3 linked regions of the Diceros bicornis minor genome follow. The protein of the gene in region 3 purifies or fractionates together with the protein of the main gene of each other region. This does not show direct contact. Links are inferred from orthologs where the notes say so. Each region holds a gene or a part of one and is shown on either strand. Other genes may lie near its edges.

Evidence for each region. The genes of interacting proteins can lie anywhere in the genome.
Region 1: the proteins of MYO6 (region 3) and LRCH3 purify together in Homo sapiens (co-immunoprecipitation; 3 studies listed by BioGRID and IntAct, with this or other methods). This does not show direct contact. The link is inferred for Diceros bicornis minor from reciprocal best matches to the Homo sapiens genes MYO6 and LRCH3.
Region 2: the proteins of MYO6 (region 3) and ARHGEF12 purify together in Homo sapiens (affinity purification with mass spectrometry; 4 studies listed by BioGRID and IntAct, counting the BioPlex papers as one, with this or other methods). This does not show direct contact. The link is inferred for Diceros bicornis minor from reciprocal best matches to the Homo sapiens genes MYO6 and ARHGEF12.

The regions. Positions count from the first base shown.
Region 1 is NC_080754.1:26,794,049-26,802,250, forward strand, and holds the start of LRCH3 (DISP complex protein LRCH3), read right to left. Parts: upstream 3,411-8,202; 5' UTR 3,397-3,410; coding exon 3,135-3,396; intron 1-3,134. UniProt on the Homo sapiens protein: As part of the DISP complex, may regulate the association of septins with actin and thereby regulate the actin cytoskeleton.
Region 2 is NC_080746.1:16,732,045-16,740,182, forward strand, and holds the start of ARHGEF12 (rho guanine nucleotide exchange factor 12), read right to left. Parts: upstream 3,411-8,138; 5' UTR 2,492-3,410; coding exon 2,460-2,491; intron 1-2,459. UniProt on the Homo sapiens protein: May play a role in the regulation of RhoA GTPase by guanine nucleotide-binding alpha-12 (GNA12) and alpha-13 (GNA13). Acts as guanine nucleotide exchange factor (GEF) for RhoA GTPase and may act as GTPase-activating protein (GAP) for GNA12 and GNA13.
Region 3 is NC_080762.1:54,978,588-54,986,797, forward strand, and holds the start of MYO6 (unconventional myosin-VI), read right to left. Parts: upstream 3,447-8,210; 5' UTR 3,287-3,446; intron 1-3,286. UniProt on the Homo sapiens protein: Myosins are actin-based motor molecules with ATPase activity. Unconventional myosins serve in intracellular movements. Myosin 6 is a reverse-direction motor protein that moves towards the minus-end of actin filaments.

The DNA of each region.
Region 1 (8,202 bases), on a different chromosome or scaffold from region 3:
CGGTCTTCCTCAGCAAAAAGAGGAGGATTAGCATGGATGTTAGCCCAGGGCTGATCTTCCTCACAAAAAAAAAAAAAAATTCAGAATTAACACTCATATTTGCTGACTGGAAAATGTGCCCATCTCTGACAATCACTGTGGCCAGAGGGATGGACTACACTGATTGGTTAGGCCTGAGTCATGTGCACACCCTTGTGTTGGGGTGGGATCCATGTAACTGAAAAGGGTGACTCCCTAGGAAAACTGAAGTATTGTTATCAGATGAAAGGTGAATGTATGACTGGCAAAATTAATGACGTGCCCTATACTCTAAGACTTTGTGTATACTATCCACCTGGAGGGGATACATATAGCCACCATTTGCATACAGCCACCGCCTGGAGTGGCTTTCCTTCTCACTTCTGCTTACCCAAATCCAAGCTACATCCTTTCTGCCCCAAGAGGTCTTCTGTGATTTTTTCTAAGATTTTCCTTGTCTACTGGATCAAGTCACCCATTCCCAAACAAATATTTCCCTTTACCTTTTTAAACAAACAGGAGGGAAAAACTTCAAGAAAATGTTCCTAATGAATTCTAATCATGTCAAATTATAAGTGGTATGGATAATATATGCTGTTTCTTAGAATGTAAACTCTTGAAGGACAGCAGCTCTACTAGATACATTCCATACATTATTAAAGAACAGACTGTGTGGCAATTTTGATATACATAGCATTCAAATAATTTTCTTGGCTTTAAATTTTCTATAGGATCTAAACAAAACATTTTAGCTAATATAAGTTGGGTCTGAATTCATCAAAGTACCTGGTGTAACAGGTAGACTACGGTTTTGGAGTTACCTCAAACTAGGCTCAAATCCTGGCTAATACCACCTTTCCCGGCCTTTAACTACAGGTCTTTGTGCAAATTAATCCCTCCAAACCTTGGCTGTACTATCCGTAAACAGGAACAGTAATATCTATCTGTACATAGGGAGGCTGTGTGATACAGTGGAGAGAAAAGAGGTAGATGGACCTGAGCTGAAAGTCTACCACTAATACTAGTTATATGTCTTTCTCAGTGATTCCTCAACTGTAAATTCTGAGTGATTCCTCATACGTAAAGTGGGATAATATTTAATCCATTAGTTGTTATGAGCATTTAACAAGGCAATGTACTTTAAAACACCTAACAATGAATAGGAAACAGTGAATACTCAATAAATGATGTTATCTGTATCAAATTATCTGTTTAGAATAATTCAGTGTTTTTGTATTTACCAAGGTCTGCCAAAGATTTCTTAGTTACCAAGGTCTGCCAAAGATTTCTCATACTAAATAAGTAATATTTCTAAAATGTTAGAAATGAATCTAGTCTAGTAAGCTATGAAATACCTTGTAATCTTTTTTCTTTTTTACACTTTTTGACCAGATAACATGTCAACCAACAAAAAATTTGGTTTATAAAGAAACTATGAAAGTAATAAAATAAGCATAGATAATAACAAATTAAAAATTCAGAGCACAGTAAGAGAAAAATTCACTGGGATTACTTATTCTTCACAAATGCCCTTGGGTTTTCTTTGTGAGTTAATAAAATATTTCTTAAAGGCAAAACATGTTGGTCCTAGAACTATTTAAAAGCAGGTATGATAAGGAGCTGGTTAAACTCTTGTAATCAACTATTCTTTAGCTTCAGGCTTAATATAGTAATACTGAAATGACTCACACTGATATAGAATCACTATGCCATCCAACTCCTGAACAACCATAATGCCATAACAGAAGCAGGAAATTTGGGATATGATGACAATTTTAGATGTCATCTATGAGAACATATGCAAAAGGCAAGTGGCTGTTCAAACTTACCTTAGCAAGAAAGTTTAATTTTATTATCATTCACTAAAAAATACAAACTGTATTCAGTACAACTATGTCCAAAAAGAGATTAAATAAGTAGGCATTTAATTTCTCCTATTTTACACTAGAGCAAAAGTTTCTTTGGAAAGAATAGTTTCTTGAACTGGTTTAACAGTTCTGTTTATTTTTCTAACATGAGTGAATCATATGTAATACTCATCAGTCTTTAATGAGTGCACAAACATAGGAAAGGTGTTATCAAAGATTTTAAGATAAAGTAAATAAAATGGAATAAATATAAGACACAAAGTACATTTTTTGGTTGCAAAAACACTATATGAAAATAAAATATTTAACCACATCATACTGTACAAACCGGCATAAGGGACTTTCTTCCTTCTTTGTGTTTGTGTAAAACATGAATAGGCTCAGTTTTTAATCTACTCCCTGAGGAAGCTATATTTTAAACACAAGAAAAACATATTATGTTGAACACTTCAGTCACCAGACACTGTTCTCTACAACTAAGAAAACCAAATAATACCTAATTCTTTATTATCTTTCCTGTGTTTAAAAACATGTATAAAGCAAAGTAATGTTTGTTTTTAAAAAGCATTAAATACAGATATGGTAGGCAATCTATGTATCTTTTTCAGATGGTTTTCTTCCTTCAACTTTTTTTGAGGGGCATGAGGAGAGAGGAAAGCAATGGGAGTCTGAAGGTGGGCTCTAGTTATTTTTACAAGTACATTTGGTAAGTCAACTACATGAAAGTGGAGAAGGAAAAGTTACAGCGATTGGGTTCACACTAAAAACAACTCTTTCGGAAAAACGCCAGCGCCGAGCTCGATGCTTTCCTGACAACGCGGCGACCAATGCTACTCTGATCCATTAAGAAGAGCGCGCTACAAGCCCAAATCTTAGCAAAGTCAACTTGGCATCCCAAATCCGAAAGGGCCTGCAGGCACCGGGGCGGGGCAAGGCACTACCTCGGCAGCGGCAGAAGTTAATTTTCTAGGCGAGCACACCACCACCCATCAAGCCCCTACGGTCCTCTTCCCGAGAGACGCCGCTGTCCGCCGCCTCGCCAGGCCCGGGGTCTGGGTCTGGGGTCTGGCCCGCAGGCCCGGGGGGCTGGGTGGGTTGGGGCAGTCGGCTTCTCCCCCTTACCCGAGCCCCGACCAGAAGCTGTGGGACCAGTTGCTCTAAATACTCCCACTCCCCCCAACCGGCTGGGGTGGCCTCCCGCCCCGCCCCGGGCCTTCCGTCGGCAGGGATGCCCCCCGCCCCACTCACCCGCCCGAGTGGTGTCCGTCAGGTCGTGGTTGGCCGCTCCCCGGGGAAACTCCCTCAGTTTCCGGCCGCTCAGGCTCAGCACCCCGGTTACCGCCGCCTCCTCCAGCGCTCGATCGAGGGAGCGACTCCATGAGCCCGGGCCAGGACCAGCGCCTGCCCCGGAGCTTGGGCCGCAGTTAACACCGGAGAGGTTACCTCCCGACGCTACTGGGCCAGAGTACTCTGCAGCCGTGGTCACAGCGACCAAGCCCGCGGCCGCCATTTCCCAGCCGACAACTCTCCGGCCCGCTGGCTCAGCGCATGCGCGGCCAGAACTGATGGGTGGGCGGGGAAAGGGGCATCCAGACCCCGACGGTTCCCTTGATGGGCAGGGCTGCGGTGCCCCTCCACACATCCAGGCGCTTGCCTCCGCCCACATCGTGATTTTCAAGGGAAATTAAAACGGAACTCACAAATATGGTGCAGCCCCCTACTCCAGGTGACCAGCATTTCTCAAACGCCTCTACAAAAATATCTTTCAGATAACGCTCCTCACCAAAACTTCTCTGCTTTTCTCCCTCAGTACTGGAGGATTCGATTAAGCATTAAATTAAGGCCCCTTAACACGGTTGCTGCCGGAAACTTGGGCAACGAGAGGAAGGGACCCTGGGATACGACCTAAAACATTTACCAAATGATCTAAATGGAGAGTTGTGGATTTATTAACTATTATTGCCTGAGGGAAATGTAAGTGCTAACCTGGCTCCCAAACTCCATAATTCTCATTGAAAGGGTTATATGAATATTTTAGGCCCTCCCTCCCTTTATTAAATAGTACTCGTCCTTTAGGCAAGATTTTATTGTTGAGCAAAGCAGGATGAACGGCATTAAAGTCTAAAATTTTGGTCTGCAACCAAAATTGAGGAAAATGATCTGACCATAATCTAAATGAGGGAATTAAGGGTAGACCAAAGAAATGGTAAAAAATGAAACCATTACTGAAAAAGTAGAAAATATCACATTTTAAACCAATTATACCTCACATATTGCAACCAGTCTTCAACATATTTTTGTGTTACACATTTAAGCCATTCCTGCTACATGATGTAAATTTCTCCTACAATCAACCAACTAGTATTCACTGTGAGAAACAGAAGAGGCTGTCAGATACAACCCTTTCCCTAGGAGATTATAATCTAATTATGGAATCCAAACAAATACACCAATTAGAGAATAAGACGACAGCAAAGGGGTGGTGGGGATTATCAATCACAGTTCAGAAAAAGGAATCAATATCAGGGATGAATGAGGTTTTGAATAAAATCTGAAGGATTAGGAAGTGGAATTGGCTGGAAGGTGAAAGCAATACTCCAGATTGGGAGGAGGATCAGCATGAACACAGCAGGTATGATTTATACTGGTACATGTGGAGAACATTAAGACTACAAGCCAAAAAGTTCGTCAGACAGCAAGAGAAAATAAGGTTGGAGAGATCCTACCTATCACCCCAGCTGATCCCACCTAGCTCTTCAATGAAACCTTGACTAGCACTTCCCCCAACTCCTAAACGAAAGAGATTATAAAAAATTTTAATCTCAGTGCCAAAGCTTGTTAGTAACAGCTGCTCAGAGAGTTGTTCTATGAACTCTTAATACCACATTCTAGTTTCTTCAGCAACAAGTTCCAGGATCAATTATCAATGTCTGTTATATGAGCATGGGTCACCACAATGGCAAGCGATGTATTTGTCATCCTTGGCAAATAACATTCATCCAATGCATGAATTGGTTTCCTTTACTCTGGTCTCCTAAAATTTTATTATTCTTAGAAAGATTTTAAGCTATTTAAGAGCAGGGCCTCATTTTATATCTTTTAGAGATATGTCAACTACAATGACTAACAGCATAATCATATATTCCATATTAACTCTACAATGCTATAGAAATAGTTGCCAGATCTTTCTAAAATGCACCATTATGTCATCTATATTTGATTACCTATTACCTTCCACATTTACACTAAATTCTTCTGACAAGTTCTTTGTAATATGGCCTCATTCTTTCTATCTATCTGTACATCTCATCATAATTACAACATACCATGCCAATCCTGGTCTCTAAATTCTGACCAAGTTTATAGATTGATGTTACTTTGTCTACTCAACTAGATTTTAAGGTCCTTAATATGTTAAACTCTATAATTACCATCCATATCCCAGGGCTGAGTATATTAACAGGAGTTAAAAAATAGTAAAGGATGAGTGGAAAGAAGCAGAGACAGACAATCGGTTATCGTACTAACAGGAGAGAAGGTTGGGAGGACAGAAAAAAGAATAACAATTTTTGAGAACAGAGTACATAAGTCTGAAGATATCTGAAGGCCAAAAGAAAGGCCCATGGATACGGGGGAAAATGAAGATGCTATATATACCATTATATGAGAACAACTCTTAGGTAAAGAAAAGGCTGAAAGAAAAAATAGCTCAGAATAGAGCTAATTCTGAGACTTCTAAGGATTTGAGGTTTCATCTAAAAAGTAAAGGTAGAATGAGAGAATCCTCATCCTACTCCCTCAATCTTCTCCATAAAGCAAGTGATAAGATCATCTTGTGAGAATGATATAGGAAATGGAGTCATTGTGAGTTCACCAGAGCCTAGAGATGAATAAAAGAAATGATGATAAACAGTTGCAAAAAGGCTGTGAGCAAAAGGGCTACAGGGATCTATAAACTTATTCCACTACTGCTCTGTTGACTGGAAGCAGCTAAAAAAACAGGCAGTGGGAGTTACTGAATGTTAAGAATTGATATAGACAACTTCCCTGCTTCTTCCTGTTTATTTTACAAGCTGAGAGTTAACTCATTGAATACTAGGGGCAAAAGTCGCACTGAAACCTCAATAGCTCTCTCCATCTCTGCATCTCACTACATCACGCAGAAATAAAGTCCTCCCCCGCCCCCTTCTACTCACCAGAAATATATTATGGTCACTCCTTAAATCTCCACTTCTATAACTCAAAGCAGTTAAGATTAAAATCTTGGCCAATCCCATTCTCTTCAAATGTAAAGCACAGAAACTGACTTGTTGAATATATTCAATAAATGTCTGATCCTTCCCTTTTCTAACTTCTTTAATAAGAAGCACTAATAATTGACTTTTTAAAACTTTAAAATTTAGACAATGTGATTTTCTTTTATTAGAGGAAAATGGAAATGGAAGTAGAAATTAAACACATACACACTGGGGAAATAGTTTCCTATTCATCTTTAAACATCAGTAAACCTCATCTAAATACACTTAGAACAAGGAATTCAGTTCCAGAATGGTTATCACATTTCCTAGTTTTATCAAGCTTTTTGTTGAATAGGTTTCAGATAGAAAGTAAACTGTAATGGCAGGGGAAAGAGAGACATCAGAAGTCAACGATTTATAAGCAAATATTTAAATCTCTGTTAACGGTCCACAACAGTACTGAATTGGTGTTGTAAATGCTTGGGGTTTATTGGTGTCATTTTATAAAAAGGACTAACTCCAAAATGATCTACGCAAAAAGAACTCTCTTTAAAGGGAAGCTTAAATCACATGCTTCATTTTTTTTCACAGTGGCAAAAAACAATCATATAACTCTGATGCAAGTTCAAAGGTATACTGCTCAGAAATGAAAAAATCGGGCTGGCCCCATGGCCTCGTGGTTAAATTTGGCGTGCTCCACTTTGGCCACCGGGGTTCAGCTCCTGGGCGCGGACCTACACTACTCGTTGGCAGCCATGCTCTGGCAGGGACCCACATACAAAATAGAGGAAGACTGGCACAGATGTTAGTTTAGGGCGAATATTCCTCAAGCAAAAGAGGAAGATTGGCAACAGATGTTAGCTTAGGGTGAATCTTCCTCAGCAAAAAAAAAAAAAAAAAAAAAGAAATCATTTTCTGCCCTAATATTGCCTGCATTCAGAGTGTATATTCACTCTCTGTAAAGTCAGCTATTTTTTCTCTCTTATCTCCTTATAGTAAATATAAATCTGAAAAAAATTACCCCAACACTGTGTAAGTTGTGTGAATTATAAAGCTATCTACAGGAAAATATGACATACATATCTATTCTCACAAAAAATAACAATTGGGCAATGAAGCCTGTAAGTTTCCTCATACTTAGAAGTATTTTATGATTTGTTTAAAATTAAAATTGTGAAGTTTATGCCTATTAGAAAAAAATACACATATATATAATGTCTGATTAGGAACACTGGCCTTTTCTAATAGGTCTACATAACTTGAATACCAAAGTAATGAAGTCTCATAATGAAGCCTCATAATCAGCACTGGCAGAGTAGATTTACTTACCACACTATAAATGCTGAAGCATGGCTATTACCACTTCTTAGATATCTAACAAGCCACACACTATTCCACTACTTTCTGTGGGTGTTCAACTCACAGGAACAGTTTATTATGAACTGAGAATTAAAAGATCTGAGCTCAGAAAGTGACTCCGCCACACACAGGTCTTGAAAAGCTAGGTCTCACTTTAAGATGTAAAAAGAGGGGTTGAACTAGATGATCTCTGAAGGCTCATCCAGCCTAATATTCTGCATTCTAAGTAAATCTGATTCTCTCTGTTAACTCCTCCTGGCTACTTCTGTTGGAGTTATGAATAAAATGGTCAAAAGGCAGCTGCAAGGATGTCAATATGAATCTAGACTGATTTACCAACTTAGTTGGTACATAGTTTTGCAAACTCTAAAAATTCTAAATATAATTACCACAAAGTTCTTTGTAACATAGAACAATCTAAAAACCACAACTCAATCTTTATAGCTAAGAATAAATCATGTGAGACCTGTAACATTTTATTTGTTAAAAATGAACAGCTTCAGAATAGATCTAAATGTAACTTTTCCAAAAAAACACCAAAAAGTACAGTGTAAAGCATCTCCTCATTAAATACAAACTTTCATTTTGTGATGCACTGCATCAATGTTTTGCATACACCTTGATGCAAAGGAAATTTTAAGTTGCATCCTGTTTTAAAAAAAACTTAAAGAACCAAAAAAGGATGACTACAACCACATTCCAGAAAGGAAATTTTCCTC
Region 2 (8,138 bases), on a different chromosome or scaffold from region 3:
TTGTTCAGCCATGTGTCGCCTGCCACAAACTGCAAAACAGAACAACGCCCAAAACCAGCTAGTCTGATTTCAACTGAGGACAGACAGACTCTGTAGTCAGAAGCACCACAATGAAAGAACTCTAAATCACACAGCTGGCCTGGTGGGTCTGCATACTCTACAAAACAAAGCCATACCACATTCAGTACTTCAAACTTGAAAGGATCTTTAAAAACCTACACTGGCTCTGTTAATTTGCCAACAGCTCCAGAATCAGCAAAATATACCTACAGTGCACTGGAGTTAGACAGTGAGAAGACAGGATGAGGTAGGCAGGGCTGAGAAGAAGTTAGGAACTATTCTCTACTCATAACTTTGTTGAGGCATCCTGGCACAGAAATGATACTAAACCAGTACTTCTGGATTTCACCCCAACATATATTCAAATCAGAGACAACCACTCTCCTAAAAAGCAAATGGATGCTTGATATTTATGGAATAATTTATGTTTAATGAAAAAGTAATGGTTACATAAGAATAATTCTTGTAAAAAACCAAACTAGTAGCACATTCCTACGAAACAGACATCCATACTGTCTCAGTAGTGCATTTTAAATTAAGTGGCTTTTAAAGTTCTTTTTTCTTCTAAAAAATATATAAAATCAGGCAGCACCTGAACTAATTCAAGCATATTAATACTCAAACCAATCTGCAGATTCATCTTATTCTTAGAATACTCATCTTTCAATCCTTTGTGCCTAGCAAAGAACAGGCGTTCAATAATTGCATGCTTCTTGTATATTCATATTTTATCTAAGTCATAAAAAGGACACATCTCAAGATTTTATTTCCAAGATAATGGAAAGAGGAAGAAAATCTCTGAGAAGCAAAGGGGAAGAACAGTCATTACTTGGGGGCTTTTAGGTGATTTTCATGTGGAATGAGCTGATGACCCAACATTCTGCTTCCACAACATTTAACATCCCTCGCATCACAATAAAAACTACCAACACTACTTTAATAAGACTTTTTGTCCAAGGCTCAGCAGAGAGGGTAAGAATTGAATGAACCACGGAAACAATTACCCACACACCCATGAAAGTGATTTCTCAGAAGCAAAACACCCCAAAAGAAAAAGGAATGGGAATAACTAGAAAAAATCAAGATGAGCATTGTTGCTAATCATGTTACGTGTACTCTCAAAGTTGAAAATTAAAAAGTATTTTAAAAAAAATACACGAACAAAGAATAAATATAAATAGTTTAAATATTTAATGGAATCTTTTAGGTGAACATCCACGTGACACTAGAAAGCATCAACAGGAAGAGGAAGTTCTGTTTCTGGAGTCGCTGTTATGGTATGATAATGGAATTTGGCCCTTTTAAAATCAACAAATGAGTCTTACAATTGGGTAAAACTCTTATTAGGAAATTCAACTACTTTCTGCAGGAGCACTATTGCTGCACTTTTCATCAAAGTGCCTTCTTTGGCCCCCTTATTCAGTTATTTGATCTTTTTTTTAATGATGTAACAGTTTGAAACATGACAAAAAAAAAAGGTGACTGAAATTTGGGACCAGGATACAATGTCATAATTAAATTGAGAAATAAAACGTAGTAAAGGACTTAATATGCTTCTATTGCTTAACCTAATATTCCAAAGAATAACTCTTAAGAGTAAGGGAACTCCACTTAAACCACAAATGGCCTACCTCAATTAACCAAACAACACCAGGCAACATAGAATAAGAACTACTATAAAAGGCTCACAGAACTCAACAAATCCACCTGTCACACTTGTACTACATAATTCGCTTAGGGTTTGTATCCCTTAAATGCAAATGTCTCTGGAAGACGAAACACTAAAAATACAATAATTAAAATTAAGCCCCATTATTTTTCTTCGCCTTTTTTTAGCTCCTTGATATTGCCCCCAGCAAAAGCCTGCGGTTTACTAGTAATTTCAATATTCTGGAAAATTATTAGATAATAAACACTGTGCAGGTCAATTACTTAAAGGAAATCAAGTTCATAAATCATTATGCAACAGTCTCAGAATGAAATTCACAAACAGAAATTCCTAAAAAGTAACAGTGTCCAGAAACAACAGGACAGGAATCAAAACCGAGGATGCACCAACACCCCAGCTGACTTCGAGCACTGACCTTCACCCCAAATGACCTTCCTCTGGTTCCAAAATAAGGACAGAATCCTAACGCACACTACAGGCAGAAAACCACAATCATGGTTTTACCTATCCCTGCTCTGAGAATCTGGAGGAAAGTTTCTCTCCAGAAAAAACTACATTTCCAAATTCAATCAACCGGGTAACTCGGCAGCAACCCTAGACATATTGCAGAGCTCGGAAACAACCTTCTCTCCTGTGCCTGTCAACGCCGCTGGTCAAAGGCAATCACTGACTCTCCTGCTGGGTCGGCCGAATCCAGGGAGGCTGAGCGCAGGGGGAGCTTCATACCAACCTGTCGGTGATAGTAGACTGTGTGCCACTCATTGGGGCCCTTGGCGAGAGGTCCTCCTTTTATCCAACTTGCATTTTACAGGAACACCTCCACCCCACCCCCAGTGCTCTGGGATCAGGCCCGACTCCGTAAGGGACACAAAAGTCCAACTCAAAACTCCATGCAGTCATCTAGAACGTCCGATTGGAAGGAGTCAAGGAAAGGGGATATGGGGTGGAGCAAAACAAGTTATCTCCCCAAACAACCCGAGGAAGTCTGCCAGAAGGCGAGTTCTAGAGATCAATCCTCGAAAAGGCACAGGGAGAAAACTTCGTCACCGAGGGAAGTCGGAGAACCGCAGGGAAGGGGGCCCGGAATCCCTCCGGGGCTGGGGCGAGACCAGCTCAGGGCTGGCGTCGGCTCCTCCTCCGGAGTCTCGGGGCCTGCACGTCCCGCCCTCTCGTCTCCGCTCTATCTGGGACTGCCGGCCGCTCGTGGCCGCAGCCTCGGCCGCGTCTCGGACCGTCCCGCGCCAGGCTCGCGCGGCTCCATGTCCCCGGGCCGGGGAAGCCCTCTCGTCTTCCTCGCCGCCCCCACCAGGCGCGGGGCGGGTGCGGGTGCCGGCGGAGCGGGTCCCGCAGCCAGAGGTGACAGGAACCTGGTCTCAGCGCCGCGGGCTGCTCCCCATCCTGCGGAGGCCCGGACTCTTCCGCAGTCGGGAGAGGCGGCGGCAGCTCCTCCCCGACGCGCCGAGGGCGGCGGTTCCCGCGAGGGGCGGGAGGTTCCGGTCCGGCCCGGCGTGGAAGTGCCGGCCCCGGAGGCCGGCGGCAGCGGCGGCGACTGGGAGCGCACGGCTGGCTCGCCGGGTCCTGAGGCCCTCGCGGGAGCGCGCGCGGCGGGCGGGGGAGGCCGGCGGCGGTGGGGGCCGCGCGACACTCGCAGGCGTGCGCCCGGGTTCCGGTTCCGGTTCTGTCTTCCAGACCCCGGCCGTGTCCAGCGCGAGCTCGCTCGTCCCCTCCCCCGTCGACTTTTTCGGCCTCCTCCCCTCTGACTTCGGGAAGCCGCCTCACCCGGGATCCCTCCGCGGCGCGCAGGGCCGCCGCGCCGCCCTCCCGCCTGGGGCCCGCCGCCCCCGCTCGCCTCGCGCGAGTTCCCGCCGCCCCCGCCGACGCCTCCGCCGGAGTCTTGTGTGGGGGAGCGAGAAAGTAGTTCTGCGGGACGAGGTGGGAACAGTCGGTACCCGGGAGTCCCACTCACCAACTCAGCAACCCACCGTCGCCCCTGGGGCCCCGGGAATGCCGGGTATCTGTACTTCGGAGCCTAGCTTGCGCTAACTCAGCTTTAACCGGAGACCGCCAAAGAGCGCTCCCCCAACCCCGAGGTGTTCAGGCTGAGAGGCTCTTTGGCCATCACCCGCCCCCTTGTCCTAGAAACTTTTACTCCTTGAGGGAATGTACTTGTTCTTCCGATTTTCTGCTAACACGTTTAGACTGCTTCTGACTGATGGAAGCGAGCTCAGGTCCAGGTGCCTGGACACTGTCCCTCTCTTATGAAGCAAACCCCAGCAAAGGGAGGTTTTGGCCTTGGCCACTCACCTGGGGCACCTGCTGGCCTCGTCTCAGGACAGGGGCCGCCACGCACGCGTCCTGCCTGCCGAGGGAGGGTTGGAGGACGGGGGTGTGCAGGGCTGGGGAGAAAGAGAGTTTGGGAATTGGAGCCAAGATTTCTTGGGATAATATTGCTTTTAAGCTGCTTCTGCCTTGGCAAAATGAAAGGTATTATTTGCCAAATTGAGAAAACATGGTGCTTTCCACAGCGACCTAACAAGCTTGCTGTGGAAAGAAATAAAGGCAGAAAATAAAGTATACTGTATTTATCCAGTAAACAGCATTACAGTTCTCTTTGAAGAGTTCCCAAATATTCTTTCGTTGTTTTTTTCCTACTATGTAGCTAGATTTAGATATCTATGTAGTTTTATGATTGCATAATTCGGTATTGTAGCAATTTAAGTACAACACGCAATTTAGTTCTTCCATTCCTCCCTTAAAGGTCTAAAGTGGCTGTCCCTTTATCCAGCTATTTTCAGACTTTTGAGTTTAAACCCGTATTGGTGGTCTTCAGCCTTTTTGTGGAAATCAAGTGGCAAAGCAAATCTAGTCGTCAGTGGATGTGGCGAGCGGAAACAGTTACAATTACCTCTTAACAATGCTGTTTCTAAAAGTCGACCTACAACAGTTCATGAAAGGATCATTATCCCTGAATAGATGCATGAGCTAAGGCTGACGTTAGAACGGGGTAAAAAAAGGAAAAGATAAACAGAGGCCAAAGATGACTCTTTATTGCTTGAATTTTTTAAGTTCAGGGCACAGCCAGCTAATTTTGTAATGTTTATTTTGGGAAAAAATAGAAGCAGATTAGGGTTCCAAGCCACTTTCCTAATGATCAGACCAGGACACATTGCCACCTGCTGGTGTACCCTAACGTGATAATTCTATCCTGAAAACTCTTTTAATGAAATTATGTATTTTCTACATATAACTGGAAAGAGCTCCATCCATCTATATACACTGACCAAAATGCAAACCTTATCTCCAAACGTATATCTTTCTTAAACATACTAAATATCTTTTTTGCCCTATTCTAATAATTTTACAGTGTAGGTATCAAATTAATTGGACCCAATGACTCATCAAATTATGCATTTTAAAAACGAGTTCCCCACTTCCCTTCAAGAATGCCTCACTACTTGAGCTTCAGAAATAAAACAAACTGGGCAAGTTTCCTAATTCACCTTCTCTTCCTTGCATACAAAACCTCTTGGCAGACTGCTTTCAAGATCTTTCCAAACTTAAACAGACCCAAAGTTCTAGCTGTGAGCAAAGAAGGCATTTGCTGTGGGAAAGCTTCAGAAGATGGTAAGCAAAGGATTTAATTAAGCCCAGAACTATTTTTTCTTAATGATGAAAATCTCTATATTCACCCACAAAGCGCTAATGGTAAAATGTCTGTGAAAGCCTCTTTACAGCTGTTGGTAGCTCTAGACTGTTCTAAAGGGCTCTATCTACAGAACGCCTTCAGAAGAGTCACACCAATCTAGGTAGTACACACTCCCCAGGGTCGTTAGTCTTTTGCCTAGAAAAATGACACAATCCATTGTGCATGCTGTTTGAGCAGGTTTTCCATTGGAGGGTTATTCTAAACCACATTCTCCTCCCCTCATCCATTCTTTCAACATGCTTACTGAGCACCTACTCTGCATCTAACACTGTTCTAGGTGTTGGAAGTACAGTTCTGAAGAGAGCCAAAGGCTGTGTCCTCATGGAGCCCACTCAACATCATCATTTTCAAGGCAACTGCCCACACAGGTGGCAAAATAAGAAAGAAATTAGGTTCTTCCTCTCTCTTTTGGCAAAGTGTTTTCTGTATGTAGAGTGTTGCTCCAAAAAGTAAAGAATGGTAGGAATGGTTGATGATAAGCAGCAGATAAGAGGTAATTCACCAATAAGTATAAATATGGGTCAACATTTCTACAGGTCAAAAGACTTTTTTCCCCACTTCTTGGCAAAACCACAACAAAGATATAAACGCAGACTCTAGGTTGAGAAAAAGTTGTTTATTTTTATAAAATTTAGTACAAATCTTATTGAAATATAAATCCTTCTTGAGCAGTGTTAGTAATTATTACATAGTAATCCAAATGCAAATGAGTCCTGCATTTTGTCCAACCACACCACATGTGAATTAGCCCTTCATTTACCTGTGATGTAAAAACTCAGCATCTCAACTGCTGAGGCATATTCATTTCACATTTTTCTCTCAGAGAGTTTCCTTCATAGTTATTAGCTATGACATCAAGAATAGTTGAAATGAGGAATTCTCTTTCCCTTATCATTGTTTAGGTTTCTCAAAATTCAAAGAAACTCCCATGAGAGTACCCCAAAACAGCAAGATCTGCAATCCCTTCATTTCTGAAGAGTAAGGAGAAAAGAATTGGTACCAGATTAAGCCTATTCATTTGTCTGGTATGGAACAGGTTACACTGTGCCAAAATTCAAGAGCCAGCTTTTTCTTTTTTTTTTTTTTGAGCTCATGCACCAAGCCACTTTTTTAGTAGGCTTTCGCTAAAATCAGCATTCCCCAGCATCCTACTTTGACCACAGATTTGTTAGGAGGAAGCTAACTAGCATTTTAGGGATACTGATCATAGACAAATAGAGATGGAGATGCTACTGTCAGATTATTTCCATGTCCAGCAAAACTCTTTCACCAAATGACAGTCATTTTAGAAGACCCACTGTTAACATGCCTTTAAAGTTGCTTTTCCCAGAGCAACGATGACTTGATGCAGTTCCAGTCACTCCGTCATGCCTGGCCAATGACATCCATTTTCAAGACCACTCATTAGGTTAAGATTACCAGTCACCACAGGATGGGCTCACACTTCCTGCTTTCAGCCTTGACTTCAAGAGCCCCATACACTTGCTTACCAACTGAGCTAATCAGTCACCACAGATCTAAATAACATAAATAAATAAATAAACAACAAATATACAAATAAATAAATACTTCACTTTTTCATAAAAGCCCTACATTAAACACCTCCATGAATAAAATGCCACATAATGTCTCTATGAAATACCCAGCAGGGTATTTCATTCATTCACAAGAGGGTTCAAATTGAGGCAAAGAGTAAACAAGTGACCTGCCCAAATGATCCAGCAAGTGAGTAGCAAAATTAGTTAAAGAGCCCAGGAATTCTTGATTCCCATCCCCTTGTTCTGTGCTTACACTCTTGCTTTTCCTAGGTGAGATCAGAGACTATCGCACTAAAAAATATTTTTTCCTTCCAAGTCTGGCCTTGTTATAATATTTTGTCCATCAACACTGGCACCTTTTTCTGAGAAAAAGTAGTAAAAGGACTGAAAGGGAATGTATCTGAAATGCAAAAATTAGCCTTATCCCACTGAGGCCAGGACATGCTTTAGTCTTTGGTTCTAGCCTGCAGCGTGCACAGCAGAGCTGAAACTTGAACTGTCATCTCAAGCATAGTGGAATCCACAGGGTAAATCCCTGTGGAATTTAGTCACAGCCTCTCATGCCTACGAGATTAATGCACAAAGCCCTGAGAACTGGCATAGTTTTCCCGGTTGGGCAAAACCCGTACAACAGGACTCGGTAAATCTGCCCACACCTCATTCATCTCTCATCCAAAGCCCTGGCTCTATGGTTTTTGTGCAGAAAAGAGAACATAGCAGGACTGAACTGCTATCCTTGGAAAGGGCTGCTTGTAAGGCTGGCCATCAGCCAGCATCTGGGAACTTCGATTTCAGGAGAGCTCCCACCATTAACTGATAAGACTGGCTCACTGTGCCTAAAACTCTTTGTGCAAACAATATGGGTTATGCTGAATACCTGCTTTCCTTCTGGGAGTCAGGAATTTTGCTACATCCCAGTAAAAACCCTGGGCACTGAGTCTCTAATGAGCTTCCTTGGTGGACATTTCACACATATTGCCACAAATCGTCGATAGTGGAATTAAGCACATCCTGTGTGATCCCACTGGGAGAGGGCTCTGGAAGCTTGGGCCTGGTTTCCCCTATACTTTGCCCCTGGTGCTTTTTCCCTTTGCTGATCTTTCTTGGTATCCTTTCGCTGTAATATATCAAAGCAATGAGTATGACTATGTGCTGAGTCCTGTGA
Region 3 (8,210 bases):
TTAAGCCCTTGGATGATGGTTTTGTATTTACAGTTGAATATGAGTATCCTTGAGATGCAAAATTCCTAATAGATCAAATCAAATACCGAAACACCTGTAAAAGCAGTCACCCAACTCAGCCTTCCTATCATTTTCTGCTCATTTACCCAACTACATTCTACTGCTGAAATGACTCCTACTTTGTTACAAAGCATGGACTTTGTGTGCTCATTTTTGTCCTTTATATCTATTACAGCTCAAGGGATATTCCTGAAATAAACACAGGCCATAAAAAAAATTGTCCTAAAAGTAGAGATGACAATTTAATCATAATCTAAAAACAAGTCCCCCACCCCAGGATTTCAGAGTTAATTATGTAGTATCTAAAAGACAACTAGTGCATTTATGGGCAACAACCTATCTCATTTGAGGAAAATTTTAAAGTTCTATCTTAACTAGAAAGATTATACTATTCATTTTAGCTACAATGAAAACCAGTGTTACAGCCTAATTCTAGTTCCTATAAACCTACTAAACAGTGCACAATATGTATAACATTCTAGAATTTACACCAGAAATGATAAAGCAACATCATATCACCATTCAAGGCTGTCAACTTAAGAATGAAAAAAGACAGAGAAATCAAAATTCATTCCAGAACCATATTCACGGCCTATCTTATCCTCACTCCTGTGTGCCTTCTTCAAACCTCAAGTTACATTCTGGAACACAATACCAGTTCTGCAGGTTTACTGAACAGTCTACTAAATGAACTGAGATCAAGGCACCCTGGTCTGGTGGAAAGGACGGGGTCTCGTGGTCAGATGACTTGGGTGTGAATCCAGACTTTGTCCCTCTGGAGCTACATGACCTTGAGCAAATATTTAATTCTCAGAGCCTAAATTTCCTCATGTGTAAAAAGACAAGACCACCAGCTTTGATAATATTTTGTTGATCAAGTCCCTCAGTTAGTGTTCTGATTATGGCAGATGCCTGATAAATGGGTGACGATCTTATAATACTAAAGGGCCAGTTCACAAATTATTACGAAGTCTCTTCCTATGGGGCTCACAATTAAACTGTATGAGATTCATTAAAGTTGTAATATTTTTTTCAATCTTTTACTCAAAATATTTTAATATGTAGAAATGAAAATTTCACAGAGGTTAGAAATCTTTTTAGGGCCGGCCCCGTGGCTTAGCAGTTAAGTGCGCGCACTCCACTACTGGCTGCCCGGGTTCGGATCCCGGGCGCGCACCTACGCACCGCTTCTCCGCCCATGCTGAGGCCGCGTCCCACATACAGCAACTAGAAGGATGTGCAGCTATGGCATACAACTATCTACTGGGGCTATGGGGAGAAAAAAGGAGGAGGATTGGCAATAGATGTTAGCTCAGAGCTGGTCTTCCTCAGCAAAAAGAGAAGGATTAGCATGGATGTTAGCTCAGGGCTGATCCTCCTCACCAAAAAAAAAAAAGTTTAAAGAAATCTTTTTAAAACTGACATTTTACATATCAAAGATGGAGCTTCAATAATCAACAGACAATGAAAATTGCTTCATTTAAAAAAAAAAATGTTTAGGGTGTTTATATTTCTTCAAACCTCACGTGGTCAAAATTTTTAAACTTTCTAAAGAAAGCTGTATTTTAGAACCCAGAGACAGGCCAGTTATCTAAACAATGGGCTACATGATACACCACAGTCTCCAGACAAAGTCACAACAGGATGAGAAAAGAGCCTTCAGCCTCTCTCAGATTTCCTGGCCACTGTTATTTTAAAACCTGATCACATAAACATAAACAGAGAAAAAAATCTATTTCAGATGAGCCCCATGCGTTATGATTTATGATCTCTGTTTTTTATACCTTGCATTAATTTACATTAAATAGTGCAATAGCTCATTACATTTTTCTTGCTCATGTTTCCGGGCACTAATGAAGAATATACGTATATTATATATAGTTCTATATATTACATATTTAGAGTTTTGAATCATGATGATCTTAAAGTTGTTTATCACTTCTGTTACTGCCTTTTAAAACTAGTTTTTGAAATCAAAAATATAACAAAAAGCTGGGAGAACAATAGCATGTCACACAGAACATACAAATGCGACGGGCAAATCTGCCTACAACTAAAATGTGCATGTAATTCCTGCCCAACTGAAAATACTCAAAATGAACTGGATATTTAAAAGTCAATGAGTTATTCTGAACAGTTGCATTGTTTCAAGATCTGGCTATAGCCCAATTTGTGCTGTTTCTAAAATTAATGATAAAAGACACCAAGGTAATTTTTTCACTAAACAATTTCCAACTGGAAAACCACAGCCCAAGACATCTACGAAGTGGAGTTAATTTGTACAGAAATGCCATTTTGCTGCCAGCCTTTGTACCATGACCACTGCCAGCCCAAGTTCAAGAGTCACATTTTATGGTGTTAACAGCATGAGCTAAATCTTAAGAATATTCTTTTTTAAAACTCTCAAACCCTGACTACATTTAGATACACTGCATCTACACCACCAGAGCACAAGTGCAAATGAACCTTTTATTTAGCACGTACATCAGTCTATTAAGTTTGGGGCAGTCTTCCCAGTTCTTCACTAATATCTGTAGATTAGGATTTAAGCATTCCTCCACCGCAAACATCATGTCAGATAAAATGTAATGTGTTTTCTGAAATTGTATGAAAGTATTTCTGACACCCATGTTTTATAATAACCCTATCAAATTATTTCCTACTTAAAGTCCTAGAATTGGAGCTTTTAATCGTTTTAAAGAGTCTTTGGAAATTAACAAACATAAAACCTGTTGTTCAGTAGCAGATATATAAATTAGCATACTCAAAGTACTGGACCATCTAAAGACGACAAATGGAGCTTTAGGTAGTCCCAACCTGGTCCCCTACATGATTAAACTACTAGGTTAATGTGTGATCCGCACCTCCCAGAACAAACGGCACTACTGCTGCGCTGGATTTGAAGCTTGTTTACGAAAGAGAAAATAAAGCCACCACGGAGTGGCCCGGACAGAGCGGACACCAGAGCGCCCTGCTTCCACCCGGGAGCCAGCGCAGACACAAAGGTATCCCGGAGATGACAAGTCCCTGGACGCGGACGCCCATTGTCCTGCGGAAACGAGCAGCAGCCCGGCGCCGCCGCCGCCGCCGCCGCCGCCCTCACCTGCTCCCCACCCGCGTCCTCGGAGGAGCCCCGCGCCCCGGCCCGGGCGGCCGAGGAGCCCCCGACGCAGGGCGGGCGGCGGGGAACGAGGCCGACGCCCCCCGCGGGGCTCCGGACACTCACCGGGCGGACCACGAAGGCAGGTGTGCGGCGGAGGGCTACCTGTCGCCGGTGAGACTGGAGGGCGGGGCAGGAGGTGACGAGCGTGCGCGCAGAGGGCGACGAGGCGGACGCGCACAGGGACGGGCGGCGGCACGGACCAGGCAGAGCTCGCTTCCTGCTCGGACAGTCGCCGGGTCCGTCTCCGCCCGCCGGCCGGCGCCCCGCGGAGTCCCCGGGCCCGCGCACGTCACGGCTACGGAGCGCCTGAGGGGGCGGGGCGCGGGGGCGGGGCGATCGGGCGGAGGCGGGAGAGGGGCGGGGCGATGGAGGGTGGGAGGGCGTGGCGAGAGAGGGAGGGCGCGGCGAGAGAGGGAGGGCGCGGCGAGAGAGGGGAGGGCGGGACGGGGCGACTGGCCTGAGGAGGAGAGGGGCGGGGATACCGGGCGGAGAAGGGAGAGGGGCGCGGCGGGCGGGGGACGCTCCGCGTCTGGGCCCGCGGTCCCTGCCCCGGCCCCCCCGGCCAGCGCGCGGCGCGGAGCTCCCTCCTCGTTCCCGCCCCTGCGAAGCGGCGTGTTGGGCGGCTGTTGTGGTTTGCACCCCTGGGAGCCGGTCCTCTCCGGCCTGGGTGCGGTGACTGCAGTCCGGCTCCAGCGAGACTCGGCTCACGGAGGGAGGGTGGTCCGGGGAGGGGCGCGGACCGCGCGTGTTCCGAGGGCGGGCAGGGCCCCGGCAGGGGCTGGGCGGGGAAGAACCACGGCCCCGGGCGCGGCGGCTGCCGGGCTGCCCTCCGAAGGGGGTGACCTCCTGCGCGACAAACCTGCCAGTCTGCTTTGGGAGCAGGGGTCTGAGATGGGAGTTTTGCATTTCTTTGGCCTCCGTCCTGCCGCCGCCTTTACTTGTCAGAGCCCCGATCCTCTCTGTTGTTTATATTTTAGTGTTTTTATAAGTGACCTACCTGTGAGTCATATTTCAAAATTAAATGTGAAGAAGCTATGCAAAATTGAATTATGTGATAAAAACATACATTGCCTTTACGAAGAAAAGAAGCTTCTTTTAAGAAAATGAAATGGTGATTGACTATGATGCTCAACGTCTCCGCCGAAAAAAGTTCAAGTACCTATACCTGAGAATTACACTTTTTCCCGCAACATTTCTGAGTGCAACTAGGAAACTTCAGGAAATCTAGAAGATTCTGATGGGAGACAAGTTTCAGATATTCAGATGTTCCACAGTTCTTTTGGTGGAAAAGCTAAGTTATGATGAGATATTTTAGCATACAACTAAAACAATAAAATATTAAGAATAAAACAGGGAAGTAAGAAAGAGGAAGAGAAACCAAGAAAGGAACTAATTTACAGCAATCTCAGAAATTTAATTCCAGATTGCCCAGAGGTAAACCTTAAGTATATAAAACTAGATTTCAAAAGGAATTGCAAAAAAAAAAAAAAAGAGCGAGAAGGAGAGGATGATTTCAGTTCACGACTTTGACTTTTTTTTGGATTTAAGATTGAAAGGCTTTGGCAGAACGATAGAAGCCAGTACAGTTTATTGTGAGTGAGGACTTGTGGTTTTTCTCTCTCTCCTCTGCCCCCACTTCCAGGTCATTCCTGAGTCCCTTAGATTCTAGCTCCATATCTCTCCAGTGTATCGAATTCCTCTTCAGAGCCACTGCCGTCATCTTGCTTCAGGCCACCGTCATTTCAGGTCTTGCGTACTGCTTTAGCCACCGAACCAGTTTCCCAGGCGGCATCTTCTCCCTTCTAATCCAGTGTCTGCAATGCTACCAGGTTTATATTGTATAAAATAAAAGTCTGATTATGTACTCCTCTTTGAAGACTCCTGTAGTGGCCCTGACTACCCTTAGTATAAAATCCACACTCCTTAAAATGTCTTCTATGATCCTTGGACTGTGTCTGTTTGTCTAGCACAGTGGAGATCTCTTGCGTTTTTTCATTTAATTGAATTTGAATGCCTCCTCATTGTTCCCCAGTTCGTCACTGACTTAAACCCCATAAAGCTCTGTTAAACCAGGCTTCTTCACACAATGTTTCCTGCCTGTCTTTGGAATCACTTAACCATTTAGGACCACTGTCCTAGCCCGGCTTACCTGTCCAGTCTCATTTCTATCCATTGCCTTTCTCCATTTCTTCACTTTATGTTCAAGCAGTTCTGAAGTGCTTGGTGTCCAGAACAGACAGCTATGCTATTTATTACACTGGAGTGTTGCCAGCCTAAATCTAATTAATCCTTCAGAATAAAGCGTATTTGTCCCCTCCAAGTTTTTGCTAACCCCCTTATTCCAAAACCCAGGTGCAATTTGGTGCTCTTTCCCGTCTCTCTCTCAGCACCTATTGCACATCTCTCTTCCAACACTCATTTTACTATCGCTACTTTCATTTACTTACCTGTTTCCCCCAACCGGCCTGTAAACTCCTTGAGGGCAGAAAAGGGCCCTTGTTTGCCTTCGTGTCCCTAGTGTGGAGCCTGGTGGCTTTTACATGGTAGCTACTCATTAAACAGTGCCTATCATTATTATTGTTTTGTTTTGTGAGGAAGATCAGCCCTGAGCTAACATCCATTGCCAATCCTCCTCTTTTTGCTGAGGAAGACTGGCCCTGGGCTAACATCCATGCCCATCTTCCTCCACTTTATATGGGACGCCGCCAGAGCATGGCCCAACAAGCGGTGTGTCGGTGCGCGCCCGGGATCCGAACCCGTGAACCCTGGACTGCTGCAGCCGAGCGTGCGCACTTAACCACTTGCACCACCGGCCGGCCCCCTCATTATTATTGTTGTTGAATAACTGGGACAGATGGATGAACAAACAGCAAGGCAGTTGACAATCCTAGGAAATTGTGTATACTGTCATTAAGCATGGTGGAAGTAACTGTGTCATATTTGCTGCCAAAACTCATCTTAACAATTTATTCCATATTTATGTTTGTTAAGTGTTTCAACTTTGCTCTCACCATTAAATATTTGTAAGACTCTTCCCCAAGTCTCCTTGTACTACTTCAGAGATTCCTAAACTGAGATCCATGGATCCGCTATCATAGATGGAGGCTCAAAGTACTGCCTCTGAAACAATATGCAAGATTTTGTGATTTTGTTCCTTCATTTTTATGGGAATCAACGTCTTAGGTGTTTAAAGAGGCTCTGCACCGTCCCTGGCTGATATCCACTTTGACAGCTTCAACTGCATCAGTGTTGCAACTCCTAAGGTAAGGCAGACTGAACACCCCACAGAAACTCAGTCTCTTTCCACTCCCACTGCCTCAAATGATTCCTTTGCCAATAGACCCTGTTATAATTATGATACTACCAGTCACTGGTCTCAAAAAGTTGTGGATTTTAAGTTACACAGGACTCCTTCCCTTCCTCACCCCTGGTTTTGGAGTCAACTGAATTCAGTTCATTCTATGTCATAAATTCCTTGTAAGTTGATGTCTTTATCTCCATCCTCCCTTAGTGCAAGCCATCTTCTTTCATCTGCACTCTTGACATTCCCTCTGCTCATTCCAGTCTGTTCTCTCACCACTCCTAGAGAGTTACCCCTCCCCCAAATCCGATTCTGTCACCCCCTGTACCGACTCCTGGTGACGTTCAGATCCATTAACACCCATTTACATGGTGTACAGAGCCCTTAACAATCCTGAACCTGCCCTGTCATAGGAGTTCTAATGTGTCAAGCCCTTTCATGATGCTCCTTCCAATCTTCAAAACTCAGTCCATCATTTTCTCTGCCCTGACCCTGGCAGAATTAGTTTTTCTTTTCCCTGTTTTCCAGGGCACCCACTGTATATCTGTATTGTAGCACTTATTAAGTGGTTTTATGATAATATTTCTATATTTGTTTCCCCCCGTAACAACTCTCCAAAATATTGAGCTTTTTAATTAGAAAATCCACCCTATTATTTTTTTATCCCTAGAGACAAGCTCATTGCTTGCCTCACTGAATTAATAATAATGACAATGCTGAAATCTATTGAATGCTTACTATGTGCCAACACTGTGCTGAGCAGTTTACATAGACCATCCCATTAAATCTTCACAGCCCTAGGAGGTAATATGGTGAGCATTAGCTTTTTGCCTGCCTAGCTTCTGAACTCCCATCCTATTTGTGGAGAATCCTTAATTTTGAATCTTGGTGATTGCAAGGACTACCTCATAATTAGGAAACTGAGTTTGGCCAAAGTCCTTCTCCCCGTTATCTGGCAACTAGGGCATAGGAATGGCATGGGACCTAGGTTAAGTGAATTGGATGCTCTCACCTGAAACTTGGAATCTGGACAAAGTGAGGCAAAGATGCAGAGATGGAGAGAGAGTTCACAGTGGGGTAGGTATTGTGGCAACCAGAGTCTGGTCATGACAGTGCCAACAAAGACATCCTAAATGGATGGCCCTGCACATTTTACACACCTAGTTCTGCACCATCCCTAGTGAGTCTGTGAGCTACATGATATTCTTCCACTATATACATTCTTTCTCTGGATAAGTTAGGCAGGGTTTGTTTCTGTTGCCTTCAGCGAAGCACCCCAATTGATACAGAGAAGTTCTATCATTATCCCCACCTTACAAAAGAGGGATGAGTAGGTACTCAAGTATTTATTTAATGAATAAATAAATGAGATATTTACAACATTATAATTTCTAAAAGAAGTGTTGATCATTGCCTCAGTTATTAGCAGGTTTGTGCTAGTGGTAATCGTCTGGAATTTATAGGGAAATAAATTACAGGAAATAAGCAGGTTCCTAAAGAGATAGTCTTATGATTTTTTCCTTATGGTGTATCTTAGCCCATCCTCATACACCATCAACATCTGCATCTCCTGTACTTTATCATGAAAAAGTATTTAATGTAATCATTGTAAAATCCTAAATTGTTTCTTTAAAAAGATTGAATGATGTTTACCTACCTGAACTTACTCTAGAAAGAAAGTAGGCT